Linked DNA regions of Arabidopsis thaliana. The protein of the gene in region 4 binds, or shares a complex with, the protein of the main gene of each other region. Each region holds a gene or a part of one and is shown on either strand. Other genes may lie near its edges. The genes, in order: VIP3, VIP4, ELF7 and VIP5.

Region 1 (6,458 bases), on a different chromosome or scaffold from region 4:
GTGGGTTCTTCCTGAGATCGATGACGACGACATCGTTTCAGCTTTTGAAGGAAACTCGAATCTGTTCTGGGCAGAGAGATTTGGTAAGCAGTTTCTAGGTATGAATGATCTGTGGGTGAAACACTGTGGGATTAGTCATACAGGAAGTTTCAAGGATCTTGGAATGACTGTTTTGGTTAGTCAAGTTAATCGTCTGAGAAAGATGAAACGACCTGTGGTTGGTGTCGGATGTGCTTCCACCGGAGATACTTCTGCTGCTCTATCTGCTTACTGCGCCTCCGCTGGAATCCCATCGATTGTGTTTTTACCGGCGAACAAGATCTCTATGGCTCAGCTGGTTCAGCCGATAGCTAATGGTGCGTTTGTTTTGAGTATTGACACTGATTTTGATGGGTGTATGAAGCTGATTAGAGAGATAACTGCGGAATTGCCGATTTATTTGGCGAATTCGTTGAATAGTTTGAGGTTAGAAGGGCAGAAAACTGCAGCTATTGAGATTTTGCAGCAGTTTGATTGGCAAGTTCCTGATTGGGTGATTGTTCCTGGAGGTAACCTAGGAAACATCTATGCCTTTTACAAAGGGTTTAAGATGTGTCAAGAACTGGGACTTGTCGATAGGATCCCGAGGATGGTCTGTGCACAAGCAGCTAATGCTAATCCTCTTTACTTGCACTACAAGTCTGGTTGGAAGGACTTCAAGCCCATGACTGCAAGTACCACTTTCGCCTCTGCGATTCAGATCGGTGACCCTGTCTCCATCGATAGAGCTGTGTACGCTCTCAAGAAGTGCAATGGTATTGTAGAAGAAGCCACAGAGGAGGAGCTGATGGATGCGATGGCTCAAGCGGATTCGACAGGAATGTTTATCTGTCCTCATACAGGTGTTGCTCTAACTGCTCTGTTCAAGCTGAGGAATCAAGGAGTGATTGCACCGACTGATCGAACTGTGGTAGTGAGTACTGCTCATGGGTTGAAGTTTACTCAGTCTAAGATAGATTATCACTCCAATGCCATCCCTGACATGGCTTGCAGATTCTCCAATCCTCCTGTTGATGTGAAAGCAGATTTCGGAGCTGTCATGGATGTTCTCAAGAGTTACTTAGGAAGTAATACACTTACGTCATAAGAGACAAGACCATAATCTTTAGCTGTTTTGTTTTTTGAAAACTTTTAGACGTTTGTTTGCGTTACTCTTCAACTCATCTCTCTGTGATCTTTATCTGTTTCTCAGTTTTCCAATAAAGTTCTATCGCAAAGTTTGAATCATTTTATCTTCTTTGTTTTTTGTGTAAGCGATAAATCTAAAGACTCCGGTCAAAATCAACCTGTTGCAGATTATATTGTTACAACTAGATGCGTCTTGGAGAATGCATAAAAGAAAAAAGTCAAAAAACCGAATTGTTCATGAGTAATCATAGAGCGATACACTCTTGTCATCAGAGACACTAGCAAGTCGACCAGCCCGGACACCGGTTCCACCTGGTGGTCTAAAGGCCACAGACCAAACCTGGTCATTGTGGTTGCTCATTGTCTGAATCGCAGCTCTCATTTTAAGATCCCATAGCCTCACAGTTCTATCGCTTGAGCCGGTTGCTATGGCTCCACCGTCTGGGCTAGCATCAACGCTCAGCACCCAACTCGTGTGCCCTGACATGGACCCCAACAGCGTTTTCCCTTCTGCATCGTGCATGTTCACATGCCCATCATCTGATCCAGAGAAGAGGACTCTCGGGTCTACAGGGGAGAACACAAGGGACCTTACAGGCATATTGTGACCTTCTAGCTGGTGAAGTAGCTTTGAGCGGTCAACATCAAAAACACAGATCGTACCATCCATTGAACCACAAGCAAGTCGTTTCCCATTAGGAGACCAAGCCACCGAGAGAACGAATTTCTTGCTGCTGGTTTTATCGGAAGGTTTTGGTGCATCTGGGCGTGGGATTGATAGAGTTGAGATTAATCTCCAGCTTGCAGTGTCCCAAAGCTTGACTGAGGCACTACTTCCACCTGCAACAGCAAGGATCGTACCCTTGGAACATGTAAAATACTATGTTAGCAGAGCACCATTCTAAAGAGTAATGTTGAAATTATAAGCTCAGAAGCAAATAAAAACTCCACTGCAAACTAAAAGAGAGATCATTGCACTGATACTTGATAGTCACCAGGTCAAAATTCTATCATACCAAATCAAGATTTATCATCAAAGCACCAATAAATTGTTCTTAATCTACTATATAAGACTCAATGAAAAATCAGAAGATGATCTAGATCTATTTTCCGAGCAGAGTAGATGACCCTATCTGATCAGAGCTACAGATTCAAACGATACTCAGCAATTCCATATAGTACCCAAGCATTGTTATATAGATCAGGAGAAGCATTACTCGCAACTAAGAAGTGAAATTCAATGAAGCAATCGAATTCTTTCACCACAAAACAACCCAAAATCCTTCAAAACCCTAAAATTGGAGGCAATCTCATTGAGTCAATTACCTTAGGTTCAAATTGCATTCCCCAAACCTCAGAAGGAGGAGCTTCCAAAACAGCAATCGTAGCATTAGTATCAACATCAAACACACGGACAAAGCTATCAATCGAAGAAGATGCTGCAATAATCCCAGAAGGATGCGCAGCCAAAGCTGCTACTCCCAAAGAGTGTCCAGTATTAGTCCGCACAAGATCCAGCTCGTCCGGTCGCCATAACTTCACCGTCTCGTCAAGAGATCCAGTCAGAAGCAACGCCGGTCGATCTTCCGTCGCCGGAACCCACGTCGCTGCCCAAACGGAATCTTCGTGAGCGTTCTCGATCGATTTCAGACCTGCGAGTTTCATTCTCTTTTTAGGTTTTTACTGTGTTTCCTCAAGTGAGCAAGAAGAAGCAAAAGACCCAAATTTGAAACAGAGACTTTGATTCTCGTTTTTTAGTTATAAAATAGAAACTCGCGTCGTTTTTAGTAGTTGGAAACAATAGAGTGTTTAACATCGTTCCGTATTCTTGTTTACTACTAAAGGCCCATTAATATCGTAACAGGCCCATTAATATCTTCTTCCTCACTCTCCCGCCGTCGTCAGCTAATTGCGGAGAAGTACTCTCTGGAGCCGCCACGTCTCAGTGATCCGACTACGACACCTTTCTTCACTCTTCTTCTTGCGTCTTCTCTGCTCTCGTGGTCTCTCTGTTATTTAATTTTAATCGATTGAGATCGCTTTTAGCTCTCGTCTTTGAATTTTACGGGCAGAAAATGGGTGAAGAAGCTCGAGCGTTAGATATGGAGGAGATCAGTGACAACACGACGAGACGAAACGATGTCGTTCATGACTTGATGGTTGATTTATACCCGCTTAGCAGCTACTACTTCGGTTCAAAAGAAGCTCTTCGCGTCAAGGACGAGATTATCTCTGATCGAGTCATCAGATTGAAATCCAAGTAAATCGAGTTTTGATGTGATTTAGATCATCTGGTTTTTTTCTTATTGTTTTAATCTATAGCTAAAGTTTCTTTTTTGTTTCTTTTGAAGTTATGCTGCTCATGGATTGAGAACTTGCGTTGAAGCTGTTCTTCTGGTAATTTTATAGTTGGTAGCCAAATTAGGGATTTTGAAAAGTTTTACAGGGAAAATTGGTTTGAAAGGATTGATTAAAATCTAATGTTGGGACACATCAGGTTGAGTTGTTCAAGCATCCTCATGTTTTGCTTCTTCAATATAGAAACTCCATTTTCAAGCTTCCTGGTGGTCGTTTGAGACCTGGAGAATCAGGTTTAGTATGCTGTTTCCTTGCATCTTTATGCATAAATATCGCTGTCTCAATTCTAAACGCTAAAGTCATGTTTCTCCTTAATCTTCTAGATATTGAAGGTCTAAAACGGAAACTAGCATCAAAGCTATCGGTTAACGAAAATGTGGGTGTTTCGGGTTATGAGGTAGGAACTATGGCTTCTTGTTAAAGTGCTTTTGTATCTGATTGTTTCTGGCTTAAGAATGGTCTCTCTAATTACAACATTGTTGTAGGTAGGAGAATGTATTGGGATGTGGTGGAGACCCAACTTTGAGACATTGATGTATCCTTTCTTGCCACCTAATATTAAACACCCAAAGGTTGGTTAGTTAGTTTCACTTTCATTGTAAGAAAAAGTTGAGACTTTTGAAGATTTGCGCTTATACTAAAAGCTCTGCTCTATCCTCATCTTTTGTGTAGGAATGCACAAAGCTTTTTCTTGTGAGATTACCGGTACATCAACAGTTTGTTGTGCCTAAGAACTTCAAACTCCTCGCTGTTCCATTGTGTCAACTCCATGAAAATGAAAAGGTATGTACTATCTTACTTGCATTGCCCTTAACTCATCGTGAACTTTTAATCGATGTTCCTGGTAAAACTAACAGGGTCAGTCAATCAAGCTGTATTTAATTATGTGTTGTGATGTTTCATTTATGCGTTGCAGACTTATGGGCCGATCATGTCGCAAATTCCTAAGCTTCTTTCGAAATTCTCCTTCAACATGATGGAGATATGAACGAACCTCATGATCATTGCCTCTAGTAGCTCTTGCCCCCCGCAATTTGTGATAGGATTATGTTTGGGGAAATCGTTTGTGGAGCCTCTCTGAGTCTGTGACTATATAATGTATATAGGGCTTATAATATATAGACAATGTTGAAGAATAGCATGTTCTTGTTGGTTATAGAGACTAGACATGAAGTATACTGATAGATAGATTAATCAATTCGAAACAATTTTTCTTTGTGTGATAATTTCGATGTGTAATTGAATGTATACATGAGTAAAACAAATATAGGGGTGTATGCTTATTTGTATATTCCTTGTTGAAGAAAACCTTGTTATCTTCAAACATGAAACCGAGAAACATAAGTAAAGATTTTACTGTTTGTTATATGTGTTTATTGTATTTGATCAAACAATATTTGAAATATTGAAAACTTTCTATAAATATCAAACGTTAGTTTGGCATTCTGCGTTAGCGTTTTGTTGTAGTGGTGATTTTGGGAGTGTTTAAAAACCAAAAGCTAAAGAACGAAGAATCACTGAATTAACCGGTTTGTTTCCGGTTAAAATGTGGATTAAAACTTTTCGGTCAAAGAAAACCGGGAAAAAGAAGTAGTAAATGGGAAAGTCTCTAAGTCGTTGGTCAACGTCGTGAACATGTGCTTGACTAATATTAATTAATGGCTGTTTTATTTCCAAATTCCAATTTCTGGCTGAAAAGTACATGAATTATGCTTAAAACTGTGTTTTACTTAATATATAATGACGAGGAAACAACAAAAAGGAAGAAGCGAAGAACGAAGTAGACGAAGACGATGAAGAAAGGTGGATTCAGCAATAATCTCAAGCTCGCAATTCCTGTTGCTGGCGAGCAATCCATCACCAAATTCCTGTATGTTTCTCGATCTCTCTTTCTCCATGGATCTGTGGATAGATAGATGTATTTGTGTGTGGAAATGTCTCTGGTTTTGTTTTTGAAGGAGGAAAGGTTTTGGTTCTCTCTGTAGGACTCAAAGCGGTACGTTTAAGGATGGAGATCTACGTGTTAACAAGGATGGAGTTCGAATCATTTCTCAATTGGAGCCTGAAGTCGTAAGTCTTTCCTCTTCCTCGTTCGGTGCTGATTTTACTGAATTTCGCGAGTGTTAGGTTTGATTGTTTATTTGTACTGCATATGAAGATTTTGTTGAGTTTGAATGCATTAACTGTAATGTGGTTGGTGGATCTGATCATAATTAGAACCTTCTTAAGATCATTTCTGTAGTTCTGGATAGAGAAACTCAGGGATTAAGCTCATATCTTCTAGATTACTGTTTGTAATCTGTTTCGTTTGCGACTGTGTTTCAGCTGTCTCCAATTAAGCCAGCTGATGATCAGCTGAGCTTGTCGGATTTGGATATGGTTAAAGTCATTGGCAAAGGAAGTAGTGGTGTTGTTCAGCTGGTTCAACACAAATGGACTGGCCAATTTTTCGCCTTGAAGGTACTCATTGGTTAACCTTCAGATTCTTTTATGTATATGATGAGCTAAATTCCTCATCTTTTCTCTGTGTTTGAAGATTTACAAATCTTTTTCTTCCTTGCCTTGTCACTCACTGTGCATAACTCTGATGCTATATGATTAGGTCATTCAACTAAATATTGATGAAGCAATTCGCAAGGCAATTGCACAAGAGCTCAAAATAAATCAATCGTCACAGTGTCCAAATCTTGTTACCTCGTACCAGTCATTTTATGACAATGGCGCAATCTCACTAATCTTGGAGTACATGGACGGAGGATCTCTAGCAGACTTTCTCAAGTCAGTTAAAGCCATCCCTGACTCCTATCTTTCTGCCATCTTTAGACAAGTAAGAAACACAGGATACACAGGAAACTATACGCTTCACTGTTAATTGGTTGATTGATGTGATTTATTGGTTCTGTTATTGCAGGTGCTTCAAGGATTAATCTATC
Region 2 (8,771 bases), on a different chromosome or scaffold from region 4:
GGATGGAGATGTTTCATCCAAAAATAACAAAAAACTAATATACCCTCATTTATAGTCATAATTTAAATAATTTTATTTTCTATAGATTTCTCAAAAAATCATGAAATCACGTATTATTCTTTTATGTCAAAATCGTAAAATCGTGGAATTGCGTTTTTTGGCCAAAAATCGCAAAATCATAATTTTTGATGTAAAATTATAGAAATCGCTATTCCACCTAAAATCATAAAACTATATTTACGCTGAAACCACTAAATTATATTTTCTTGCCAAAATGACAATATTATGTTTTTCCGCCAAAACTGCAAAATCATGTTTTCCTGCTAAAATTGCAAAATCATTTTTCCCGCAAAATCATATTTTCCCGCCAAAACCGTAAAATCGTATTTTTCCGCCAAAACCGTAAAATCATATTTTCCCGCCAATATGTTTGGTATTGATAGTGGGTAATAATGTTGAATATTTGTCATTTGTTAAAATGAAAACATGGGTATTTTAGTTATTTTTATCTAAATGAAAATGTGAATGAACTACAAAATGATCAAACAAATAAAGATCCATTTAAATGCATCATTTATATTAAATTACAAATAACGAAACAAACATCATTCAAATGTATCATTCAAATGAATCATGTAAGTGGATCATTTGAATGGAAATGATAAATGATGAAACAAACAGGGCCTTAATCATATAATTCATGATTGTTACCATCTTCTTAATGCATGACATCCATTGCTCCAGGCACATTTTTCTCAATTGGCACTTCCAATCAGTGATTATAACACGGATTTAAAGTCAGTACTGGATCAAAGCATTCGGATCCTCCAGGCCATGATTGATATCTGCGCAAACAGTGGATGGCTCTCAAGCTCACTGACGTGTATGCGCCTTTTGCAAATGGTCATGCAGGTAGTGTCCTGAAGATTACTACTCTTAGCTTGTTCAAATTATTTCACTTTTGCAAATTAAGAGGAATCCAATTCTCTTTTTAATTCTAGGGCATGTGGTCTGATCAAGATTCGTCATTATGGATGATCCCATGCATGAATGACCTTCTTCTAGGATCTCTGACCGCAAGAGGGATTCACACGCTACATCAGCTATTAAATCTTCCAAGGGAAACTCTACAAAGTGTAACCGAAAACTTCCCTGCATCAAGATTATCTCAGGTGCTCTCAAATTGGTCACAACTATTTCTTTTGCATTTAATACTTTCACTCATGGAGTCTCAACTATTCTCTGCTGCACTCTTCGATCTTAATTAGGATCTCCAACGATTCCCACGGATCCAAATGAATGTGAGACTCCAAAAGAAGGATTCCGATGGCAAGAAAAAGCCTTCAACGCTGGAAATCAGATTGGAAAAGACATCAAAGAGGAATAGCTCGAGGGCATTGGCCCCTCGATTCCCAAAGGTTTCACTTAAAGACTTAACCACAGATTAGTTTGAGCTCGAAACAAAAATGAAATTGAATTCAACACGTTTATTTTGTGTTATAGGTGAAAGACGAAGCGTGGTGGTTGGTTCTTGGTGATACTTCAACTTCTGAGCTCTTTGCTGTGAAGAGAGTTTCGTTCACTGGTCGTCTGATCACACGCATGGAGTTACCTCCCAATATAACCTCTTTTCAGGTACAAACAATTTTCAACTTATTTTCTCAAACTAAATCATTCTTTCTTACACTTCTATGTATATATTATTATTGCTGAATTGGTTTTTTTTTTTTTGGCCAGGATACGAAACTCATCTTAGTTTCGGATTGTTATTTGGGGTTTGAACAAGAACACTCCATTGAACAACTTGCACGACGCGGATGAGCCATTAGATGATGGATTGTAGTAACCCCATATTTTTTTGGAATTTGTTTTATATATTGTCAAAATTTTCTTAAAATTCTGGTTTTTTTTTGTCGTCTTCTTAATGTAAAACCAAATTTTACCTTACGTTTTGTAATAAAACAGTGTTACAGATCTTTTGAGATACATAAGAAAAATAATGAAGAGCTTAAGGTAAATGTGTTAATTTTACATAACGTTATGTAGAACAGTGTTACAAAAAAATTGGGCTACATGACTACATAATAAATTAATCAAGAGATTAAAACTAAATGTGTTTACTCTGTGACAGTCTGTTTGGTAAATTTGTTTGGGTCAACAAGTTTACGTTATTTTGAACTATCTCCATATCAAATTACCAATTATTCATTACAGTTACAGAAGGGAAATAAAATCCATTATTACATGAATTTAAAAAAATCATGATTCTGTCTTTATTTTGATTAAAACGAGTCTAATTCCAGACTACATTATAACAAATGGACGAAAGGAGAGTGAAAGATTTGACGAACATGATTAATCTTCGTCACTGTCATCAATCACGGCCTTACGACGATGAGTCGGAGCTTTTCTAGGCGGAGACTCCTCCTCGTCAGACTCAATCCCTTTCCTTTTCCGGCCACTTCCACGGTGATCCTTCTCTGCCCTACCTCCCTGCATAAACCACATTTCACCACACATTACAATCTCAATGAACTTCCTCATTGACAACAATAAAAATGGAAGAACATTCTAATTTGCGTACCGCAACCTCTTCCTCTTCTTCATCTTCATCTGAGTATCTGTTAGATTTTCCTCGTTCCTCTTCATCTTCTTCTGCATCTTCCTCATATTCATCTTCTGAATCCTTGCCCCTTCCACGGGCCGGTGACTTTTCTTCCTCTTCTTCTTCCGTCTCATATTCTGATTCCTCTCTCTCACTCTCAGAATACTCCATTTGACGTCTTGACGGTCTGGCCGAAGTCATTGAAGACCTCCCCGGAATGCCTTTGTGGCTCTGGTTTTACCCCAGTGAGAAGCAGTTGAATATTAGTTCAATTTCTAATGCTTTTTTTGCATTCCGAGATATATGAGTTTTTGTTTTGTTTACCTTCTTGGCGTTTAGAATCCGGCGTTCCCGTTGCGCTTCAGCTTCGAGATCTTCCTCATAGCCACGGTTTGAGCGGTAATCCTCGTCATCCTGGTTCCAAGAAACAATCAGTCGTTACTAGTGCAATCTTTGCTTTAGAAAATGGAAGAACCCAATATACACAAACTAATCAAACAGACCTCATCAAGAGCATCTTCCAAGTAGCCAGTGGAAAGTTGTCTCCTTTCAACAGGAAGTGGATACTTGCGCTTGATTTTCTCCCTCGCCTGACTCAGCTTTGTACTAGCCTTGAGGTTTTGGCTTTCCGCCTTCAGAATTTGAGATATTAAATGAGAAAAGTCTACAAACACTGCAATAAAACTATTGTTGGATTGTCTGAGCTCAATTAAGAGGTAACCTTTTCTCTCTTCTCCTTCTCCCTCTCAGGGTCAATGTCAGTGACACAGTTCTTAACTTTGAAGGCCTTCTTCTGCCTCGATTCAACAATGGCAGTCAAGAGCCTATGGGAATTTGACGTCAGCGATGATGGGGTAAATCTCATTTTCTTCAAAATTCTTCCTTGTGATTGAAGGATACCCTACACCAACATCCAAATAAGACAACACTTTGAGATATAGCAGAGTTGGAATGCAGGAGACATTTGGTTTCCTAATGAGAAGTTTTGTCATTTAGTATAGAGAATCGTATGGGTGCTCTAAAATGAATCAGTGTATCTAGGAGGCTGGAGCAACTACAAATTGATCGCTAACTAAGGCAGAAGGAATGACGAAGTAACACCTTTTCATGTTTGATAAAGAGGTGATTCTGGTCTTCTTTTGCATCTTGTTCAGTTATGTTAAGAACTTCGTTTCCTATCAATAGCTGTAAGCTTCCATCTGACCACCTTACAAACCGAGCATTACTTTCACTCTGCATACGAATATAGAGTGACTTGAGTTTACTACAGCAAAAGTAACGGAAAAAGTAGAAGAAATGTGTGCAATAAGCAACAAAACCAAGAATTCTTGTTTATGGGCAGATTTCTAATGAAGCCTAAAGAATAAGAAGAACTGTTGAACAGAGATATCATAAAATTTCATCTCCAACTATATGAACACATGTCCGTAGTGAAAAGCACAAAGTAAACTAATTCGGAATACATAAATTGCATCAAAAGTATGTACTTATAATACATCATTGCATCAGAAGTACTAGTAATAGGCAAACTACATAGCTTCATTGCAGGTTTGATGGAAAATTTAAAAGCAGAAAAGCTTTGAAGAAGTGTTCACTTACATATGTTTTGCCATCTCGACTCTTAACAAACCTATGGCGAACAATATTATTGTCCAAACGGATACGATTCTTTGCTCCGGGTTCATCTGTCATGAATGTGTCTTCTTCAACGAATGTTTTGGCATCAAAAGGCTTTGGATCAATCCCCATGATATTGGAAACTTTTATCATGTTCATCTGAAAAAGATCAAAGAGAAAACGGTATATGAGGAAGCGCAATTTTGCTACAGAACATCTTCACTACAGATAGACAACTAGAAAATGGGGTTTCAGATATAAAACAGAATAGCACGCTCATGTACACCAAATGGCCCTTCATGCTAAGTAAATGTAGAAGCATGTTTCAGTGCAATGGTTCTCCACATAAAAGACATCAGATACTCACTCTTCGAACCACAATGATATGAGAGATTTTGGTAACTTGGAAATACCAGAAAGGAAACTATTGATTTGAAGCCATGTCAGCGAATAATCTTTTAGCAACATAAAGCAGGTATACCTTAACGGGGTCACCTGGAGGAGGGCGGAAAGGAACCTCCACTTCCAAAGGGGGACCAACTGGCCTCTCCCTGTACCTAGCTTCAACATGTTCAGCTTCTGACTCGTATTGAGGATCTTCTTCAGGGATTATATCATCAAGCACCATATCATCGGGTCTCAGATCCTTCTCAGAGCCCTCTTCATCTTCGATTGGCGATCTCTACAAAATTAGACATCTCATCATACATACATGCAATTTCATATGGTTTCTAAAAGGAAGCAAACACTGGAAAGGAAACAGATATTCTGTAAACTGAAATGTAATATTAGATGCAAGACTCACATGTTCATCCTGCTCAACGTCATTCCGAACATATTCTTCTGCGTCTTCATCATCCGAAGATCCGAAAACATTACGAATATTTACGTCTGACTGTGCAACTTGAACCTCTTCCTTCTCCTCACTAGGTGATCTACCCACCACGCCATATTTCCATGTACAAAAGACAAAGTGATCCATAAGAAATTTGAAAATCCAAGGAACCTCAGAGGACTAGCAAGTATTATTAAATCCAGAGCACAGAAAAGATCAAAAAGAAGCTATGAAACAGCTAGGAAAAAAAAGAATGGAAAAAGGGGTACCTTGGACTCCTAGTCTGATCAACCTCTTCATCTTCAGACTCATAATGCTTTTCACCAGACCTCTCTGATCCGCTCTCAACAACCTCCTGTCTCCTCTTTTTGGCTACTCTACCCCCATGTTCTTCTTCTTTGTTATCACTATCACTATCTCTTGCTTCACTTTCCTCTTGTGGATCAGCCTCCTGTGAACTTTGCTCCCTCTCACCCTCACTTTCTCCAGGATCAAGTTCTACATCTCCCTGTTCCCCGTCAGACTCAGCTTCAGCTTCTCCGTGAACTTCAACCTCAGCTTCACCTTCTCCTTCAGGCTCCACCCCGCCCTCAGCCTCATCCTATCAGTGTTTACATTGGAAATTTCAGCCACAATTTCACTGATATCTTAGTCTAGTTGATATTAAGAAGAACTGAAGCTGAATTAGGCCTAATAAGTTGCATTGGTTCCTGCAATTAACCTAAAACCCTAAATTCAAGCGAGAAGAACTCCAGAAACCATTCGTATTCCAAGGTGTAATTGAAGAACAGTGGCAGTGAAAAATACGAAAACTGAAACAATCAATAGTGACGAAACGAAGGAGATAAAGATGGAGAGAGTTACGGAAGCGTAGTTAGGCTGACGACGATTGCATTCATGTTCGGATTCGATCTCTTCTTCCTCGGAATTATCTCCGAACAGATTAAGCATCATCTCGGATCTCTTTTCTCCTTTAACCATCTTCGCCTCACTTACTCAAAAGTCACTGCCTCTTAGCTGGTGACGGCGGCTCGTGATCTGAGCTCCGACGAAGGGTTCACTGTTATCGGCCTTTGTTGAAGAAGCTATTTTTTTTTCATCTCTACCTCGCGATTTTATGGCATCAGAATTATTATTATTAAAAACAATTGTTACAACTTACAAAGAAAAGGAAATTTTCATCGATATATCTTTTTTAACGCATTACCGGATTATTAAAAATCATTTTTTTTACGTGTAACGACGACTAGAGAGGGAAAAAAGATGGGATTTTATGGGCTTTTTTGAGATTGGAATTCAATATTTTTGGCCCACAAATTTTGGGTTATGGATACCAGTTTCTTTGTGATAGTGAGCTTGTGTTTGCCTTGGCCCCTATGTATATGAATGATACAACATCCTTTTAACTGATTCTTTTGGCCCCTATTTTTTTATATTTAATTTATTTTAAAAACTAATTATTAACTTCTTTGATCAAATAACTTGAGTTGCCAAAATAAATGTTATGTCTTCTTCTAAAACATTGTTGTTGGTTTATAGATTTTATCTGCTTTAGAAATTAACAAGAGACAAAGATTAGGTAAAAGCATAACCGACTTGTGTTCTATGAAAACTTAAGTGACAACTAAACATCATGAATATTCAGGAAATCCTGAAAATTTAAACAGAATTATAGTAATTTCTGAAAAACTCAAGAAATTATGGAATAAAAAGAAAAAAGAAAAAACTATGGACACTTTTAAATTACTCAAACTAGTTTAAGGCTTTTGGAAATTTCACTTTTTGCTTTTTTTTAACTCGAGAAAATTACAATTTTATGTAGACACATTTTGCTCACAAATGTTTATTTATATATTTTCCATAAATTTATTTTTCAGCCTTTTATCTACAAAAATTTATCTTCTAAGAATGTTTTTACCACCAAAAATAATAAATATAAACCACAAAAATAAAATTATATATTTTATATATATATATATATATATATATATATAACAATTTTTATCTATGATATCTGGCAGTCGCAGTTGGCTTAAGCCGCCTGGCCGCCTCTGGAGGGACCAAAATAATTCAAATGGTAATTACGTGCCTTGGCTTCCAACCAACGTTTTTGACTAGGGCTGACTCGGTAGCTTGTTATGTTAGTATAAGAGTTAACTCCATCTGATACTCAGCTGAATAAACTCATACGTACAAAGGAATATTATCTAAAAGACGAGAGTACAAGTGAGAAATGGCGTTAAAGGTGATCAAGATCTCCCGAGTCAGCCCTGCAACCGCCTCCGTCGACCCGCTCATTGTCCCACTCTCGTTCTTTGATTTACAGTGGCTTAAACTCAACCCTACCGAGCAAGTCTTCTTTTACAAACTCACCGAATCATCATCATCTCGCGACGTTTTCTACTCCTCCATCCTCCCCAAGCTCGAGCGATCTCTTTCACTCATCCTCACTCACTTTCGCCTATTCACGGGTCACCTTAAGTGGGATTCACAAGATCCAAAGCCGCATTTAGTTGTTCTCTCAGGAGACACACTCTCTCTCACAGTGGCTGAGACTGATGCGGATTTCTCACGTATCTCTGGCAGAGGGCTTCGTCCAGAGCTAGAGTTACGCCCTCTAATACCCGAGCTACCGATTTATTCTGACTCGGGGGCTGTTGTATCTCTGCAAGTCACTTTGTTCCCGAAACAAGGCTTCTGCATTGGAACCACAGCCCACCATGTCGTCTTGGACGGCAAAACGGCTGAAAAATTTAACAAAGCATGGGCTCACACTTGTAAACATGGCACCATACCGAAAATTCTACCAACGGTTTTAGATCGTTCTGTCGTCAATGTTCCAGCCGGACTTGAACAAAAGATGCTCGAACTTCTGCCGTATCTTACGGAGGACGACAAAGAGAACGGAAGAACCCTAAAGCTACCTCCAGTCAAAGAGATTAACGCTAAAGACAACGTCCTCCGAATCACCATCGAGATAAGTCCTGAAAACATTGAGAAACTCAAGGAGAGAGCCAAGAAAGAGTCAACACGCGCTGAGCTTCACTTGTCAACGTTCGTAGTCACGTTCGCCCATGTGTGGACATGCATGGTGAAGGCACGTAGTGGTGACCCAAACCGACCGGTTCGTTTCATGTACGCTGCTGATTTTAGGAACCGGTTAGAACCACCAGTCCCTGTGACATACTTCGGGACTTGTGTCTTAGCCATGGATTTCTATAAATACAAAGCTAAGGAGTTTATGGGAGAAGATGGATTTGTCAACACCGTCGAGATTCTCAGTGATTCGGTCAAACGTTTGGCTTCACAAGGGGTAGAGTCAACTTGGAAAGTGTATGAGGAAGGAACAAAGACAATGAAATGGGGTACACAGTTGTTGGTCGTAAACGGGTCGAACCAGATTGGGATGTACGAAACGGACTTCGGGTGGGGAAGACCCATTCACACTGAGACAATGTCTATCTACAAGAACGATGAGTTCTCTATGTCCAAGAGGAGAGATGGTATCGGTGGCGTCGAGATTGGCATCTCTTTGAAGAAACTTGAGATGGATACTTTTCTGTCTTTATTTTACAAATGGATTGGAAACTGAAAACGTACGGTCTTAATCGATCCCAGCTTTTGCTTATTTGTATTTTTATTTCTAGTTCAATAATTGCCCTATATGTACTACGCAAATTTGTATTGATTCTGTCTTTTGAATTCTATTTTTTG
Region 3 (8,363 bases), 7.5 Mb from region 4:
ACCCCACTATGTGTGCATGAGATCAAATTATTGGGGATTCACGTGAATTACTGCAATTTTGTTACCAAATTACTAAAAACTTGCAATGTCTTTTGGTTGTTTTTTTAGTATATGTTAATTTTCTTTTGTTACAAAAATAAAATTCAACGTGAGATGGTGGTGCTACTGATGTTAAGTGTTGGCCGCTAGTGCTAAAATTCTCACCATTTTATTTTAATCTTTGATGTTATTATACAGATTTTTTAAAATCTATAAACGTTTGAAATTGATAGCAGTGATTAAGGAAATTTGTATGTATCAACAATAGCTTGAATAATGATTAGATTTAAGCATAACTAAAAACAAGGCATTGTCTCTTTTTTTTTTTTTTCTGTTTTTATATTTTTTTTCAGCCAATCACAAATCAACACAACTGATTTTAGCAATTAACATTTTAAAACTTAATAAAATTTCCATATCAAGATATTTATAAGAGAAAAAAATTAATAGACATACAAAGAGAAAATGTAATTTTAAAAGAAAAAAAAAATCATATGAAAAGAAGAAAAATGCAAAATTTTGTTATTAAAATATATATTATTATCCATATTATTAGGAAAGGAAAATATTAAATCTATATTCGAAGTCCACATGTGATTGGTCATTTCAGTAATTGACATTTTAAATTTTTATAAAATCTCTACATTAAGATACTTATAAAAAGCAAATAACTAAATAAATAAATAATAAATGAAACAATAAGAATGTAAACTTGTTTAAAAATAATGTAAAAAACATATCGAAAGAAGAAAGTTGTAAATAAAATATATTCACATTGCAGAGCTTCCCAGTCAAACAAATCACAAATAAAACGTTACATTATTTAGTCAAAAACGGTTGCTTTTTTCCTCAATAGAAAACTCCCTCACGCGCCCAATTTTTTAATTTTACCAAAAACAGCCAAAAACGGTCCACAGATTTTGAGGAGGTGGCGTCGACGCGCTAATTGTGCGAGTGGGTAAGAATTTGAATTTCGCAGTTATGTTTTGGGCTGATTTTTATACTGCCCACTGGGCTACACAAGAGGAAACCCAGTTTCATATAATAATAGGCCCACCTAATAGAAAAAGCCCTTCGTAAAAGAAAACATAGTGGACCATAATAATTTCATTTGTACAAGAAATTTTGAAAATGTCATATTTTCGGGAACCTGTAAAATAACCACAATTGCAACACTGGGATCTACTACAGTACAAGATTTGCTCTAATCCATCCTAATTAATTACTGGTAGTAGAACCTGTATAATATTATTACAGATTCTAATCAGCTCTGGTAGAAAGACAGTGTAAGTAAGTATCTAAGAAGGCTTCTCTGTACAAGGAATTCTCTCAGGGATGTGTTCTCATGAACATAGCCACTGAAGATGAACGGAGCTGCCACATTAGATAGGATCAAAGTCGTAAATGGCCAATTCATTAATTATGGACGTGTACATGTAAAATCGTTTTTCAACTTCGCCAGCTATCCAAATCAAAATTTCTTTACTTGCCAAACTACAAAGCTGTGGTGGAGGCCATATTACGCTTTTAAATTAGCCTACAATAGCCTTGCAGGAAAACCATTGCAAAACCGATTCAATAGTTTGAGGTACACGAAACGTTCATTCAGAATAATCATCCTCATTACCATCACTATATTGATTGGCATCTTGTTCCGGCTCGTGTTTCCAAGATCTACCAAGGCCGCCTTCGTCCTCTAATCTTCTCATCTTGGAGCTCGAAGCACCAACCCTAGAAGAGTAAACCTACATCCAAAGCCCCAAAGTCCAAAGGAATTGGTAAGAGAACTAGAACTTTCCACGTGTTACTCTTTTAAAGGCTAAATGTATGGATTTACTATACCCCTGAATCTTTATGTTCTATCACTGATACAGTTGATCTCCGCCTTACAGTTACCCTTGAAGGTACTGGAAAGTGTTCAATCTCATCAGAAGATCTTCCTTCCCTGGCCCTTTTCTTCCTCAAGTTCAACCTCATGGGTAGGGGCTGCCAAATTCTCAACGGTCATCCCAAAGTATTATAGACAGAAGAAAAAAAAGATACACAACTGGAATATGTAACAAAAACCGATGCAATACCAGATAGCTAGCGGTCCCATTGTCAAATGATACCAGGTATGTGCCAGGATCGTTTGCATTGGGTTGTACCTGTTATAACATCAGGTGACATATTTATTTCAATCTGCAACTCAAACAATCAAAATTTCACTTAAACCACATTGGCTATAGTACATACATCCCAGAGGTATTCGCGAACCCAAGTGTAAGAGATTTCTTCGTTTTCATCATGGATATCCTTAGACAACTGGCACAGCAACATAAATTGATAACACATCAATCAAACTGAACTTTTCTTGACTTGTCAAAATTTGTGTAAAAGAGAGATCAGTTTATGGAGAGGCATGTCTACCTCATCCAAGGAAGGAACCATGTACGCCAGAAATTTTTCTGGATTGGCAGTGTCTGATCCAGCCACCACATAGCTTTTCAAAATGGCCTGTGGAGTATGAGGTCAGAGCTCGTCATCAATATGAAAATAAGGCAATCAACCATAGTTAAGATTCAGCCCCATATATCATATATCCTATCCTCATTCAAGTACACTTATGTAAGCAACAAAAACGATATAGTTGATACAGTCATCTTTTCTCTCAGGAACAAAGTATCCCTATGATAGAGACCAGAGATAATTGGACCATACTCATGGATATCGGTAACTCATAACTCACCCGTGACTCATGTGCATCACGAATTGAAGGGTCCAACTTGCCAAAGAATTCAGAATCAGCTATAGGAGCACCATCAAAATTCGCTACCACAAACTGCTCATCGTACCTGTGTCAAAAAAGGAAGGGGAGAGTCAAATGTAATAGCATAGTATGCTACAGGTTCAGTGAAAATTATTAGTGGATGTTTCATCCAAAAGGCAATACACTAAAACCCTAGCAAAGAAACATTTGAACAAGAGTTGGAGCAGAGAAAAGGGAAAAATTAAAGACCCAACATCTCTCTTAAGTGTTGTATAGTTAGACCTTAACAAGGCTGCCTATTTTCCCACCCGATTGATTACACTATCCTATAGGAAAACTATTCGTGCATGTTTCCGACCACAGGAGATCCTTCAGAGAGAGCCAACATAAAGATAATCTGTAAAGTGTCAGCTTTCAAGCTGTGTCTACATGTAGGACTATTATGAGAAAATTTTGCCTGATTCGGTATTTCAGATTTAAGATTGTCTGCAAGGGGAAATAAAGAGCATCCAACCTATCAAAATATGGCAACAGTGGTAGAACTTCAACCGGCTGCAAGTTTTTATTGGTGGCATGAACTGGTCGAGACTTGCATGCCTCAAAGGATGCTTCAATATCCTTGATTTGTCTCTCTCTAGAGACCAAAGAAAAATAAACCATTAGACCTTTTTTTTTCTCACTTTCCTTAGAAATACACATATTTGAGAAACAACACACCTATTGTTAAGATTGTGCAAGATGTTGATGCCTCCTTTCATCTCTCGCAGTTCCTTTGCTTGCTTCTCCGTTAGCGACTACACAAGGTAAACATAGGAAATTGGAAACTGTCTCTAGAAGCTATACATGGCAAAACAAATTTCCAACAAGCGAGATGGATAGATACCTGTCTTGCCGATTCGTTATTAATAGAAGAAATGTATTGTGTTTTGACGAGCCAAGACATGCCTTTATCAGTAGGTCTTTCTTTCCTCCGGATGCCATCTTTCTTAATAGGTGTAACAGCGTCATCATCACGCAAGAGTTCTTCATCTTCAGGGGCAAGAGGTGCCTTGACTTTGGGAGGGCTGAAAAGAGCTACAACAGTAAGTATCCCCAGTAGATGAGGTCGCTGGCATTAAAGACACTAAGACTTTATTGAGAGCACATACTTGTACACACTTAGGTCAAGCAGATCCAAGGGTATTCCAAGATCAGGCTCGACAAAGATTTTTGGTTTCCATAATTTCTCCAGGGATGTGATGGTATACTTTGTAAATCTAGTGGGATCAAAATAGCTGGCAAGTAAGGACAGTAGAATAACACAGAAATAAAATTTGGCAATAATAGAGAAACATACTGATCTTTATCCCGTTTAATGGTCATAAGCTTAAGCTGTGCACTAGGGTCAGGGAGCTCATTCCGGAACCTTGAAGAAGAAGATGAATATCAGAGTCTAACAATAATATGTAAAAAAGATTTAGGTAGTCGTTTGAAGAATACTGACTTGAGCTTGCAGATGAAGGTGGTTGGTTTCTTTAACCTATTCTCGACCCTGTCGGTGGTGAGTAGGGGCGTCGGCTTCTTCTCCTCGGTGTGTCCCTTGGGCATCTGAGACTTGTGAGAATTTTTCATCTGCTGTCTATGTTTTTCGTCTTGCCTTTGTTTCTCTAACTCCCTCTTCTTCCTAAGCCTCCTCTCTTCTTCGGTCTCGATTTTCTTAGAATGAGGAAGATGAGACCTGTGGTGGTGCTTCGATGGATCCGGTTTAGCACGCTCCCGCCTTCCAACCTGCTTGGAGGCCCCTTTCTCGTGGTCATTGGGACCCTGGTGTCGAGGAGGATCGGGAACGAGCGGAGGAGGAGCTGAGGGAGGTGGCGGAGGAGGAGGAGCTTGGAGCTGGTTGAATTGAGGATAGTGGGGCCCCTGCTGATAGTAAGCATGCGGAGGAGGAGGCGGCGGCGGAGGATATGAGTACGGTTGATGCGACGGTGGTGGGGGAGGAACAGGAGGGGGTAACGACGGCGGGGGAGGCGGAGGGGCCAAAGAATTTTGAGATGGTGGCTGAGGAAGAGGAGGATACGGCGGCCGGTACGACGCCATTCTCGGTGTACTTTGTGATCTGAATCACCTAAACCAACTAAAACGAGTCTTCTTGATATATATTAATTATATAGCTCCGGTCAGACTGATTTTTCCTTTTTACTTTAATTTGGGCCTCACTAGCGGCCCAATAACCGCTACTATCATATGGGTTCTGATAATTACGGCTTCAATACAAACAAAAACAATCTTAAGCTCACCGTTTTATGAATCCCAAATATGAACGAAACATGCTTTGTACCACCAAGCTCATCGACGTGTGACTGTGTGAGGAACACAAAATATTTATTTTCTACATTGATAATTACTCAAACATTATGTACAGTATAGCGAACCGAGGTGTGTGGTTAAACACTCAACACGCTGGACCAACTTATGAAAACCTCTTACCAGGACTTCACAAGCCGAAGATGTTATGGTCGTTGGCACTGAAAATAGCACCGCCAAACTGCCTGGTGTTCAAGTCGCCTCCATCAAGGGCGGTCCCAAAACGGTCAAGCCACTGGGCAGGACTGGGATTCTCTGCCTCTTCCACCCACTCCGACATCATGTCAATGTCCTCCAGGGCAATTGGGTCTGTCTCCAAGGTTATCATCCTCCCTAACTTTAGATTCTGATTCACGTACGCCAACTTGTTCAATATTTCTCTGTCAATCTTGTTTCGCCTTTCCCAGTGCATCTGCTGGAATGTGCTCCATTGGCGTTCCAAGTTGTAACCGCTGCAAACTTGGCTTAGTATTCTGATGGCCACCCGCTGCAAAACAGGTGCTGAGTCACCAAACTGCTCCCACCAGAGACCTGCATTACTAAGCAAACCATTATTAGACATCAACTTCTAGTCTTCTAGTGCTTCGTTACCAATTCTAAAGATCCCAGACCATACCCCTAATAGCCTGGTGAGGGGAAGATATCTACTAGTTTTGCAATTCGGTTTACTACGTGCCAGGCTATATCAACCTGGACTTATTTAGTTGTGTAATAAGACCATAGCTTTAATTGCGGTCATAGATAAGTGGATTATTTTTCTCCCGACTCAGACTACCTATACATCTCTGTTCACTAGTCATGACTTAAAGAAAATATAAATGTATTTATTGTCCATACCTGGTGAAACTGAATCCCTCGCCTCCATGGCCAGGTTACAGCCGAACATTCCCTTTGCCCTAGTGAAAGTGAATATCTGATTTGTAATATCACGCCGTAGATCGCTAGTAGGAAGAAGTTTCTCCAACACTTTGAAAAAATCTTCTTTCAAGGAAGTGAGGAACTTTATCTCTGGGTTATACTGAATACTGGGGTTCAAGAATGCTGCTGCTGCATGAAGAGGTGAATGCAAATGCTCACACCAGTTAGTATCAACTATGTCAGAAAAGACCTTATGCTTATTCTCATCCATGATGTAGTATGTCCGTATTGACTCCTTGGCCTTGGACATTAACTCGTATATAGAACCTACAGCGGGCTTTCCAGTAGAAACTTCCCTCAACACTTTCAGGATAGGCTCGGAAATAGCCACACTTTCTTCCACAGCTCTCCAGAAATCATTATCCTCTAGGATATTCACGCATGAAATGCTCTGTGGTTTGTTAGTATTTGTGGTATACTCTGGGCAATTGAACATGTGTTTTAGCCTTGCCTTTTGTTTCATCATTGACTGTAATGATAGAAAATTGGAGACAGACCTTGTGACACCGCTTCGGATAATATCTTGCCCGCCTGTTAACTTTCTCAATAAATCTAGCACGGGGCTATTGTTGTAGACAAACTTAGATATGACCTGCGCTTGCGATATACATTGATTGACCCAATCAACCTTGGAGAATTCTTCTAAGATGATGTTCAAACACTGAGATGCACAGGGGGAGACGAAAATGGTTGCATAGTTTTGCAAGAGATGGTTTGAGATACCAGTGTAGCAGAAGCTGTTGTCCATAATGATTTGCACAATATGCTCCTGACCAATATCTTGGATGACAGAATCAAAGAGATCAGCAAGGCATTTTGAGTTCTTGAAATATGAGGAGGCGTCGACAGACTTGTGAAAAAAGATTCTGGAAGGTGAAGAGACGGAGAAGTTAATCAGTGCTCGTGATTTGTTGTCGGTCCATGCCTCAGCGATGATAGTACAGCCGGTGGTGACCCACTCCTTTTCAGTGTCTTTCAGTTGTAAGCTAATATCTGACTTAACCCTGTCCAGCCATTCAGTCTTGGGAGAAGGAGCAACAAATCCAGGACCACACTTGGCAACGGCGTCGAGCATATGGTGATAAGAGGGTGAGCGGGCAACAGCGAAGTCAATCTTGTTCTCAAAGAAGAAGAGAGAAATACTCCTCTCTGCAATGTCCTGCGCATTAGGAGGAGAACTAGGAAAGACTAGTTTGGACGCAGGAGCATCAAACGGAGGAGATAAAGGTGGTGGAGGCTTGTACTTGTTGGTAATGGGGGGATCATCCTTGGCAGATAAAATGGAACGAACTCTATCAGTAACATCGTCCCTAACCTTGGCACATGGATTAACCCCTTTACTGGGAAGGCGAGAGAGATGATGCTTCAATCTACTAATGCCGCCATTAAGAACTCTAGAGCAAAACTTGCATTTAACCTTGTTACCATCTAGTTTCTCTGCGTATTCCCAGCAGATATCTTTTTCTCGTACCACTGTCTCACACAACAACAATCGAATTTTTCATCTCAATCATAGGAAAGAAAATAAATAGAGCTGCTACTTTACTTTACATTACTTACTTGGTGAATGATATATGATGTTGTTCTTCGTCAGCTTCCACCTGCCAACACACACAAAACCCTAGTAAGGAAATAAGAAATGTATGGAGGATTCTAGATTTCCTCTTGAGGATTGCCGGAATATGAGAAAGACACATGACGTAGCCACCGGTTCCCGGAGAGGAGAGAAACAGATTCGAAGATCTAATCGGAGAAGACCAAGTAGCAAGAAATCAAAGAGAATTTGGGATAAAGAAGAGTAATTGGGATAAGCTGCTTTACCGAGAGAGAAAGAGATTCACTTCTTCTCGCCGGAACCAACACTTCTGAGAAGTTAATTTTTCGCGATATTTTGCTCTCCTTCTTTCTTATGTCGTCGTCCTAGTTTTACTTTCCCTTCCTTCCTCTAATTGTCGTCGTCATTTCACTCTTAATTACATTTTCAATGAAATCGATACTAGTTTCCACCACTTTCAATTCACTATCATCCTTAATTTGGTTCACTGCACTAAACGATTACACTCAACAATCAAGATATTGGCTCATCATTACCACGCACTAGAATGTTTTAGCTATCGATGATTTGCAGTATACGATGACCATACTTGAAGTATTTAAGTAAGAAGAAGAAAAAAACAACAAAGCTAGCTAGCAGTCACAATAAAATTGATGATCCTGAATATTTCCTAAAAGGAAAGCACACCATATGCAATCACATGTTGCTACCAAGAGACTACTAGCATACACGAGTATATGGCCCAGAGAAACAATT
Region 4 (7,613 bases):
AGTTTTTTACTTAACTATCATATGAAGAGTGTGGTAGAGTTCTAGTTTTGATGTATCAAATTACTAGAATTAATAAAAGTATTATTTTAGGTTTTTAGTTAGTTTAATAAGGTAAATAGCTAAAAATGTCAATTAGGACCAATCATGGTTATCCATGGAAGAAACTCACTAGAAACAATCAGACCAGACCAATTAGAAAAATATTATTCACCTTATATGATTCATTACTTGGAAACACATGCAAGAGATAGTTTCCAAGCATAACCATGACTTTAATCGGTTTCTTGAGCAATTGAAACACTAATTATTGACTCACCATATGCAATAATAAGGTTGGTGGTTGAAATGTATTTTAAAACTCAATGGTATATTTTTTTGTATAATAAATTATTAATATAAAAAAGATTTTATTCTTATAAAATATATTTGCATTATAATGACAGATATTGGATTTTATTGATAAGTCAACACTTCTCTTTCAATTGTGTTACGAGTAATTTGTTTTTATCGTCCACGATCCATACACGAGCATGATGATTGCATAATCACTAACTTCTACAAAACCAAACTAATATTGAACTGTTAATTAGCTCATAACTAAATTCATCTAATTAAGAGTAGCAAAACTGCAAAAGACTTGATTTTCTAATTTCATGCAGTCATACACTAATCAGGAGAGTTCACACAAAAACGAGTACAAAAATATTTCAAGAAAAAACAAACTGATCTAAACATATTTTGTGGAGTACAAAAGAAAGATATGAAGAAAAGAAGAACCAAGAAGCAGTTTTCAGAAGATAATGAAACACTGAGACTTGAAAAAAATGCAAATAAATCAGAGAAGACCTCTCCTTCTCTTGTAATCACTAACAGTTAACGTAAGGCCATGTCTCTTGCCATCGTTCTCTGCGACTCTGCATCCCACAGTTGCTTCGGTCAGTTGCTTCCTCGCCATGAACGCTTTCTGTACTCCTTGAGGTCCTCCGTACTTCTGTAAAGCCGTTAGCGATAACGACAATTCAAAGTTATGAAGCTGATTGTGTTCTGCTCCTTGACCTATTGGAGCTCTTGTGTCTATTAGCTTTCCTGCCTCTGCAGCTGCTTCTAAAGCTGCTTCTGTCGCTTCAACACCTGCTCCTGCATCTGCTCCATTGGTCTCAACCGCTGCTGCAACCGCTGCCTCGTTCTCTTCTCCATCTTTCCCCTTGTTTTTCCCGTTGTAGTAGTTTGATGATCGGGTCCATCTTCTTGAAAACGGATCATACCCTGCTTCACCGGCTTTGAGACTAGCAGTTATTGATTTTACCTCAGATGCGTTCTTGAAATTCTCGGCTCTGTTCTTCTTGTTCATCTCAGCAAGTTTAAGCGCTTTTTTATCTACCCCTTTCTTGTTCCGTGAAGCGTCGAGCTGTTTGATTTTCGACTTGATCCTCTCTACACCTGCTTCATCGTTTTTGCTCTGCGCAATTTCCAATTCTTTTCTAAGCCGATCTTTCTCGGCCGCAACATTCATTGGCCTGACTGACGCAGATTTTTTCTCCTGCAGCATCTGTTTAACAGTTTCCGCAGAGTAAACAAAACTGTTTGTTCTTTGTATCGCTTCTTTCTTCTCCGATATATCTTGCTTTGTGGGCATGCGACCATTTGTTCGCTCAACCTCTCTGATCCATTGCCTATACTCTTCCTCCAGCGGATGACCATCTGAGATCATAGCCATTTGCCATCGAGCCGCCGAGGTTTCATTTCCCCAGACGACGTTAAGGTACTTGTGTGTAGTTTTATTCTCTAGCTTGTAGGTCTTGTCAGGATCGGTTGCATCAACATTCTTCACCCAGCAGAGTCTGTAAATTGGACCACTCTTTGACCTTCCGATCCCAACCCTCACAAAGCACCCAACTATAAGCTCTTCAAAGAAAGGCTCCATTAGCCATTTGGCAAGCTTAGACCGTCTAATGGTAACTTCCTTAACATCCTCAAACGTAGGCACATCTGACCTGTCATCATCACTGTCTAGCATTCCTCCATTCGAGCCTTCATCATCACTCTGAGACCTACTATCACTGTCACTTTGGCTGGAACTACTCAAATTGGAGGAAGCTAACGGTTTCCTCTTCGTTGATGAGAAATCTCGACTACCTGAACCACCTTTTGATGCATCTCTCAGTTTCCTGAGAGCTGCTGGGTCCTGCTGCTTCATACGCTTCGCCCTCAATTCATTCAGGGCATCATCCTTAGCAGCGGCTCTGTCTGCAGATCTAGCAGATGAACGCACACCACGAGAGGCCGGAAGAGGCTGAGTCTCCTTTTTAGAAACAGGGGTTTTCTCACTTTCTCTCTTGGACCTAAGTTTCTCAGTGAAGTTCTTATCACCTTTCTTATCAGCACGTTCAGAGAGAATCATCTCTCTCTGAAACTCAGTCATTCCAGCAAGCTTCTGCCTGTCTTCCTCATTCTTGTAAAGGTCATCTCCAAAATCAGACTCCTCGCTGCTGTCACCTTCACGATCAGATGGTCCATCACCATAACCACCTTCAACTCGAGCAGCTCGATCTTCTCTCTCTGCCTCCAATCTCTTCTTCAAAGGAACTTGAGACCCAGAGGGTTTTCTACTAGCATAGCCACGATCTTCATCAGAATCATCCCTTGAATCGCTACTACCATCAGAGTAAGAACCCTCACGTCTCCTCGATGATGGAGGATGACGACTCCTCCCTGCTGAATTTGTTCTCCCAGCAGCTTCCAAAAGCAAGTTCTCTAAATCACCCATAATCTTCTAAGGAGGCTCACAAGTAACGAATTTAAATGGTTTTCACTGTCACCTGAAATTATGAGAAGTATACAGTTAGAGAAGCAAAAGACCTCACCACATTGGTCAAGTACGGTGTATACCACAAAAAACCAGTAGATAGCTAACTACAAGAGCAAAACAATCCTTTGGATTCTAACCCTAGATAAGCCATTAATAGGGTTAAGGAAAACTTTTCACCCAATCAGGTAACGGTGAAGTCTAAAGCCAAATCGCGGTTTTGCGAAAACCAATACGAGTTTCTGAGGTTAATCAAGCGAATTCGGAGACGGAGAAGGATCGATTTCTGGTATGGATCTTCAATTTGATTGGAAGAGGTAAGGACGGCGGAAACAGGGAACGCAGAAGCCGTTTGTGGCGGAGAAAAGGAAATAGAGAGAGGGAAGGGTATAGAAAAGAAGAGAAAAGTTGAAGGAGACTCACTTGAGATCAGACGGAGAAATCGTCGGAAAGTGTTGCAGAGATCGACGACGGGCGGCTAAAGGAGAAGAAGGAAGGGGTGAAAAACGAAAGAGTAATGTCGAAATTGTCGAGAGGAAGCAGATGCTGAAGTCTTTTTATTTTTTAAGAAGAAGAGCTGAACAAGGGAAAAACTATATATTTAATGAAAAACCCCTTCAATGTAAATATTGCAAAACGGGAAAAATGTCACTAAAATTCCCCACTTATTGAAAGCATTCATTTAAATCCTCAACTTCTAACAAAACGAAACAAATATTAATTTTACGTTGATTTTCTAAACAAAAATCAGATTTATGTTGTCTTTCCAAATAAATACCAAATTTTTGTTAATATGGTCATGTTAAGCATGATGTTAAGTAAATTATCAGATCCCGTTAACAAAATTAAATTTCTATTAACATACCCGTTAATTCAAACGTTATTGCTTTTTATAAAAACAAAGCGACGTCGTTTAATTGTAACAGGATGTGTTATCCCACTTAACGGCATGTCTAATATGACTAGGTCAACGAAAGTTTAGTATTTATTTGGAAAGTCAACAAAATTGGTATTTATTTGAAAACTCGACATAAGTTTGATATTTATTTCGTTTCGTCGTTTAAAATATCACTAAAATCCTCAACTTGTTAAAAATGTTGATTTTAATTACACTTTTCCTATTGCAAAACTATAAATTATCACTTATCTTAGTTTATCACTAATTCGTTCTCAATCATAAATTGGAATTAATCATGTGAGTATTGATTAATATATTTTTTCAAAAACAAAGATATTTTCTTATACTAGAGGAAAATGAGTCAGAAAAAAAAAAGAATTTTTTTCTTTAGGCTAGAAAATTATGACTCTTTCATAGTTTCATTAAGCCTCGTAATTCCAATATTGATGATTATGAATAACAAAGAAAATGTGATTTTGAGCACACAAATAAACGATATACTAAGATACGATATGATTAACTCTCATTAAGCAATCTATTTCTATATATCTGTTTGTTCTTTCTTTGTATGACAAAAGTACAAAAGAATGGGGGATGTGAATTACTAAACTAAGCTGAACCAAAAAAACAAAACCTCAAAAGAAAGAACTAAAAGATACTCTATTTGTGTCCATATTATACGTGTAACATGTTCCATTGTGTGAGACCACTAACTATAAGTGTGGAGCAAACCCAAAGTGTGGCAGAAGCTGTACAGTGAGAGGAGAACGAAGATGTCGCCTGTTTTTTTCCCTCCGTTCTATGGCAATTTGCACGACTCGATAACTTCCATAACCACTTTATGTGTTTCTGGAGGAATCATGTCCAGTGTTGTATGAAACGCCTAACACAGTAAGAACAAGTACATGGTCGCATCAAAAGGTTTCAGTGCGCATACCACATCGACTACTAAGACTGAAATATGAAGGGTTTAGAGGAACGTACCACAAATCTATCCAACACGGGTACCAGAATTGCCATGTCGCGTTTTGGGAGATAATCTCTGATGGCATTTCGTATACTTCTACTGCTAAGAATAAGAGATTATGTTACAACTTTTTGAGAATTAGAATACTTAAAAAGGTAGTAAGGAAGATATAGATAAATAACCTTTCTGTGGATAGAAATGCAAGTAGAAGGGCAGAATATGCCTCCACGATCATCTTTTCCGCTTCCTTTTCGCTTTCTAAAACAGCTTCTTCATCGTCCTGAAACATGAGGAAGGAGCAGGTTTTAAGACATACTTTCTACTAAGGGCTATTTAAATTCGACAAGAAAACAATGATTAGATACCAACCAAAGTGAAAGTACTCGTTTCATCTTTGGTGTCTGCGGATCCTTTATTGGTGAGAAAGATTGAACATAAAAGAGGGATCATGTCTTGTTCACTATCTTGTAACCCTTCTGGATTGGTAATCGGAACACTAGCTGCCGCGAGCCTTGACCTGGACCAAATAATAACTGATTAGCGAATATTTTTCAAGACATGGGTACGAGTCAGATCATAATATTATGAAATCACGAGTTCCCCCCATTTGCATAAAAGACAATCAGTGACTATGTTTTCCTGAGTTGACATAAAGATGTAAATCGAAAAGAGCAGTTTGGTACCTGTTTATTCCGTTTTTCTCCACCAAGTTTACCAGTAGCCCCAGGATGGCAACAAGAAAATCTAATTCCTGGTCTGTGAGATGTTTATCTTTCTGGTGGCATGTCCCGGACTCCATCTGACTGTAAAGCGGAGATCTGGTGAAGGAAGGAAAGTGTCCAACAACTAATTCAGCCATGCTCTCCAGTCCTCCGCAGGCAGCAACTTCCCGACAACCAACAGAATTACCATTTGTTAGGTTCATTAATACCTGAAAATATGTTCAACAGAATCAGAACGTAGCAAAAGATCACATGATATCCTCACATATCTAAACAGATTAGCATAAAAGGTGACATTCCATTCTGGTCCAAACATATTTTCATTCCAGCTGCAGAAATTTGTTACATAACAGAAAAGTAATTGTTAAAAAGACTGTACATTACCTTCACGGCTGTTAAAAGGCAATCAGATAAAAGACAGAGACATCCTTTATCAATGTCATATGTTAAAGAAGGTTGCTCTGTTACATGGTGATCTCTATCACTTGATTCCTCCTGAGAATTTAAACCATGGTTTGATTCCTCCTGGCTCGAGAAGAGCTGAAGCGAGCGTTCATCTTTCTTATCTCTGTAGCTTCCCTTCCTCTTTTGACCTTTAGATTTCTTTTGCTTTCCTACTGCCCATCTGGAAGGTCCTGAATCTTCTAAATCAAATGAAAAAGGATCTTGACTATCCTCGAAGGATGCAAAGTTTTCAACTTTTTTACAACTGGATTCTCTAGTTTGGCTAGTCCTTGTTTTACTTCTGGAAATGCCACTACCCAATGAGGCTAATCTGCCTGCAAACGACCCAGTGTTGGAACCAGCTGTAGTCGTCAGCGTGCAGTGATCAATTGTCGACATTACACTTGATTGAGACCCCGGCTTTGGTGTCGTTGAGCAACCTACCAGGAATGCAGACTGATTTCTCTTGGATACGCTCAAACTTTTTATGGAGCTAAAGCCAGTGGTAGAGCAAGTATCTGAACTAATAATTGTCACAAAGCCCTTCTTAACAGCAGAAGCTAGATGTGGCTGAGGGTGAGGATGCTTTTCGTTCCTGTGAGCACGTAACTGAAGACCTGGTGTAATCATTCCAACCAGCCATCAGCATAAGAGATGATAACATACGAAGCAAGTCATGGTGGTAAAATCCAAATATAGGAATGGGTACCTGAAAGTATTTTGATGACACTTATCATGAGCTCTGTGAAAGACAGTCGGGATTCATGAGAACCCATGCTTTTATTAAGTCTGAGCAAATGAATCTGAAAGATATATTATGTACAGTTATTTTTTAGGTGCAAACTGCAGAGCTATTCAATACAAGCTATCATGAGGCTGGGAATCCAAAATAAATAAAAGTTACCTGGTTTTCTGTGCTGAGGAATGTAGCATTCTCCATGATTTTTAGACATTTCAGAAGTAACATCAGACTCTGCTTATTCAAGTCATCTTTTATATCCTCGACAGAGAGTGTGTCATGAGTCACCCAGCTCTGCAAACAAAATATGCAATAGAGACTCTTATTAAATACAGTTGCAAAGGTCCAGTAACTATTGACAACTTAAGTACAGAGTCTTTGCCACCACTAAGACAGACATCCAACTTGTCCACAACAAACGCAGTCACAATAACATTAAACTGTGTTACACAAACAAGAGAATTCTCTTGCCCAAGGACAAGAAAAGAACCTTGACTTGCAACGATTTTCAGCAATAAATTAGATTGAAATAAAACATGAACCTGAAGATAGCAAACAATTATAAAGCTACCAATCTACGACACTTTACACAAGTTATTGACGTCCTAGCCAAATAAAGACATATATAGCAAGATCCCTATAACATACAGGTTCACACCTCCATTACAGTGTGGCAATCCATAACAACATCAAAGACAGCATCAAGTCCTCCAAGTTCTCTCAGTTTCTCCTTGAACATTCCTCCAGATTTTTTCACAGTACCAGAGGTATCTGGATGGGGAATGATAATATCAATAATTAGAAATTTATAAATCAATTATAATCTGGTCGTAGGATTCTATTACCGCTGACACATTTGTTAAACTGATTCACTGAAGCAGATAACATAACTTTCCAATTCTATAACTCAATATAATATACCAGATGCGTCTTAAATAGTTAGCTAGTCATTGTTCCAGCAAAACAGACAGGAAGTTAAAGTACCATCAAAAGAGATTTTGGACAAGCACGCCTTCTCCATCACCAACAAAGCTACC

What was found.
Region 1: VIP5 (region 4) and VIP3 share a complex: the UniProt entries of both Arabidopsis thaliana proteins name them as parts of the nuclear PAF1 complex.
Region 2: VIP5 (region 4) and VIP4 share a complex: the UniProt entries of both Arabidopsis thaliana proteins name them as parts of the nuclear PAF1 complex.
Region 3: VIP5 (region 4) and ELF7 share a complex: the UniProt entries of both Arabidopsis thaliana proteins name them as parts of the nuclear PAF1 complex.

What each region holds. Positions count from the first base shown.
Region 1 is NC_003075.7:14,594,102-14,600,559, reverse strand, and holds VIP3 (Transducin/WD40 repeat-like superfamily protein), read right to left. Parts: upstream 3,002-6,458; 5' UTR 2,833-3,001; coding exon 2,494-2,832; exon of another isoform or gene 2,337-2,493; intron 2,030-2,336; coding exon 1,403-2,029; 3' UTR 1,260-1,402; downstream 1-1,259. Other genes in the region: MTO2 (Pyridoxal-5'-phosphate-dependent enzyme family protein), read left to right, coding at 1-1,126; homolog of CFIM-25, read left to right, coding at 3,243-3,427, 3,519-3,564, 3,665-3,758, 3,849-3,922, 4,011-4,097, 4,198-4,308, 4,442-4,513; MKK2 (MAP kinase kinase 2), read left to right, coding at 5,319-5,395, 5,484-5,595, 5,851-5,985, 6,128-6,352, 6,437-6,458. UniProt on the Arabidopsis thaliana protein: Component of the PAF1 complex (PAF1C) which is involved in histone modifications such as methylation on histone H3 'Lys-4' (H3K4me3). Involved in regulation of flowering time. Required for the expression of the flowering repressor and MADS box gene FLC.
Region 2 is NC_003076.8:24,601,491-24,610,261, forward strand, and holds VIP4 (leo1-like family protein), read right to left. Parts: upstream 6,236-8,771; 5' UTR 6,039-6,235; coding exon 5,922-6,038; intron 5,659-5,921; coding exon 5,327-5,658; intron 5,158-5,326; coding exon 5,028-5,157; intron 4,905-5,027; coding exon 4,704-4,904; intron 4,382-4,703; coding exon 4,205-4,381; intron 3,839-4,204; coding exon 3,707-3,838; intron 3,507-3,706; coding exon 3,327-3,506; intron 3,238-3,326; coding exon 3,109-3,237; intron 3,020-3,108; coding exon 2,930-3,019; intron 2,837-2,929; coding exon 2,585-2,836; intron 2,494-2,584; coding exon 2,356-2,493; 3' UTR 2,144-2,355; downstream 1-2,143. Other genes in the region: AT5G61140 (U5 small nuclear ribonucleoprotein helicase), read left to right, coding at 745-912, 1,002-1,172, 1,269-1,418, 1,504-1,635, 1,738-1,821; AACT1 (anthocyanin 5-aromatic acyltransferase 1), read left to right, coding at 7,291-8,649. UniProt on the Arabidopsis thaliana protein: Component of the PAF1 complex (PAF1C) which is involved in histone modifications such as methylation on histone H3 'Lys-4' (H3K4me3). Involved in regulation of flowering time. Required for the expression of the flowering repressor and MADS box gene FLC.
Region 3 is NC_003070.9:29,999,103-30,007,465, forward strand, and holds ELF7 (hydroxyproline-rich glycoprotein family protein), read right to left. Parts: upstream 4,982-8,363; 5' UTR 4,868-4,981; coding exon 4,272-4,867; intron 4,194-4,271; coding exon 4,125-4,193; intron 4,045-4,124; coding exon 3,937-4,044; intron 3,853-3,936; coding exon 3,672-3,852; intron 3,583-3,671; coding exon 3,506-3,582; intron 3,423-3,505; coding exon 3,303-3,422; intron 2,874-3,302; coding exon 2,768-2,873; intron 2,536-2,767; coding exon 2,449-2,535; intron 2,344-2,448; coding exon 2,275-2,343; intron 2,187-2,274; coding exon 2,118-2,186; intron 2,026-2,117; coding exon 1,882-2,025; intron 1,785-1,881; coding exon 1,641-1,784; 3' UTR 1,436-1,640; downstream 1-1,435. Other genes in the region: AT1G79740 (hAT transposon superfamily), read right to left, coding at 5,265-5,665, 5,972-7,525, 7,613-7,613. UniProt on the Arabidopsis thaliana protein: Component of the PAF1 complex (PAF1C) which is involved in histone modifications such as methylation on histone H3 'Lys-4' (H3K4me3). Involved in regulation of flowering time.
Region 4 is NC_003070.9:22,478,971-22,486,583, reverse strand, and holds VIP5 (plus-3 domain-containing protein), read right to left. Parts: upstream 3,481-7,613; 5' UTR 3,230-3,480; exon of another isoform or gene 2,947-3,229; intron 2,820-2,946; 5' UTR 2,768-2,819; coding exon 836-2,767; 3' UTR 615-835; downstream 1-614. Other genes in the region: AT1G61030 (WAPL (Wings apart-like protein regulation of heterochromatin) protein), read right to left, coding at 4,504-4,587, 4,689-4,770, 4,854-4,951, 5,041-5,188, 5,355-5,602, 5,778-6,454, 6,547-6,640, 6,742-6,870 and 2 more. UniProt on the Arabidopsis thaliana protein: Component of the PAF1 complex (PAF1C) which is involved in histone modifications such as methylation on histone H3 'Lys-4' (H3K4me3). Involved in regulation of flowering time.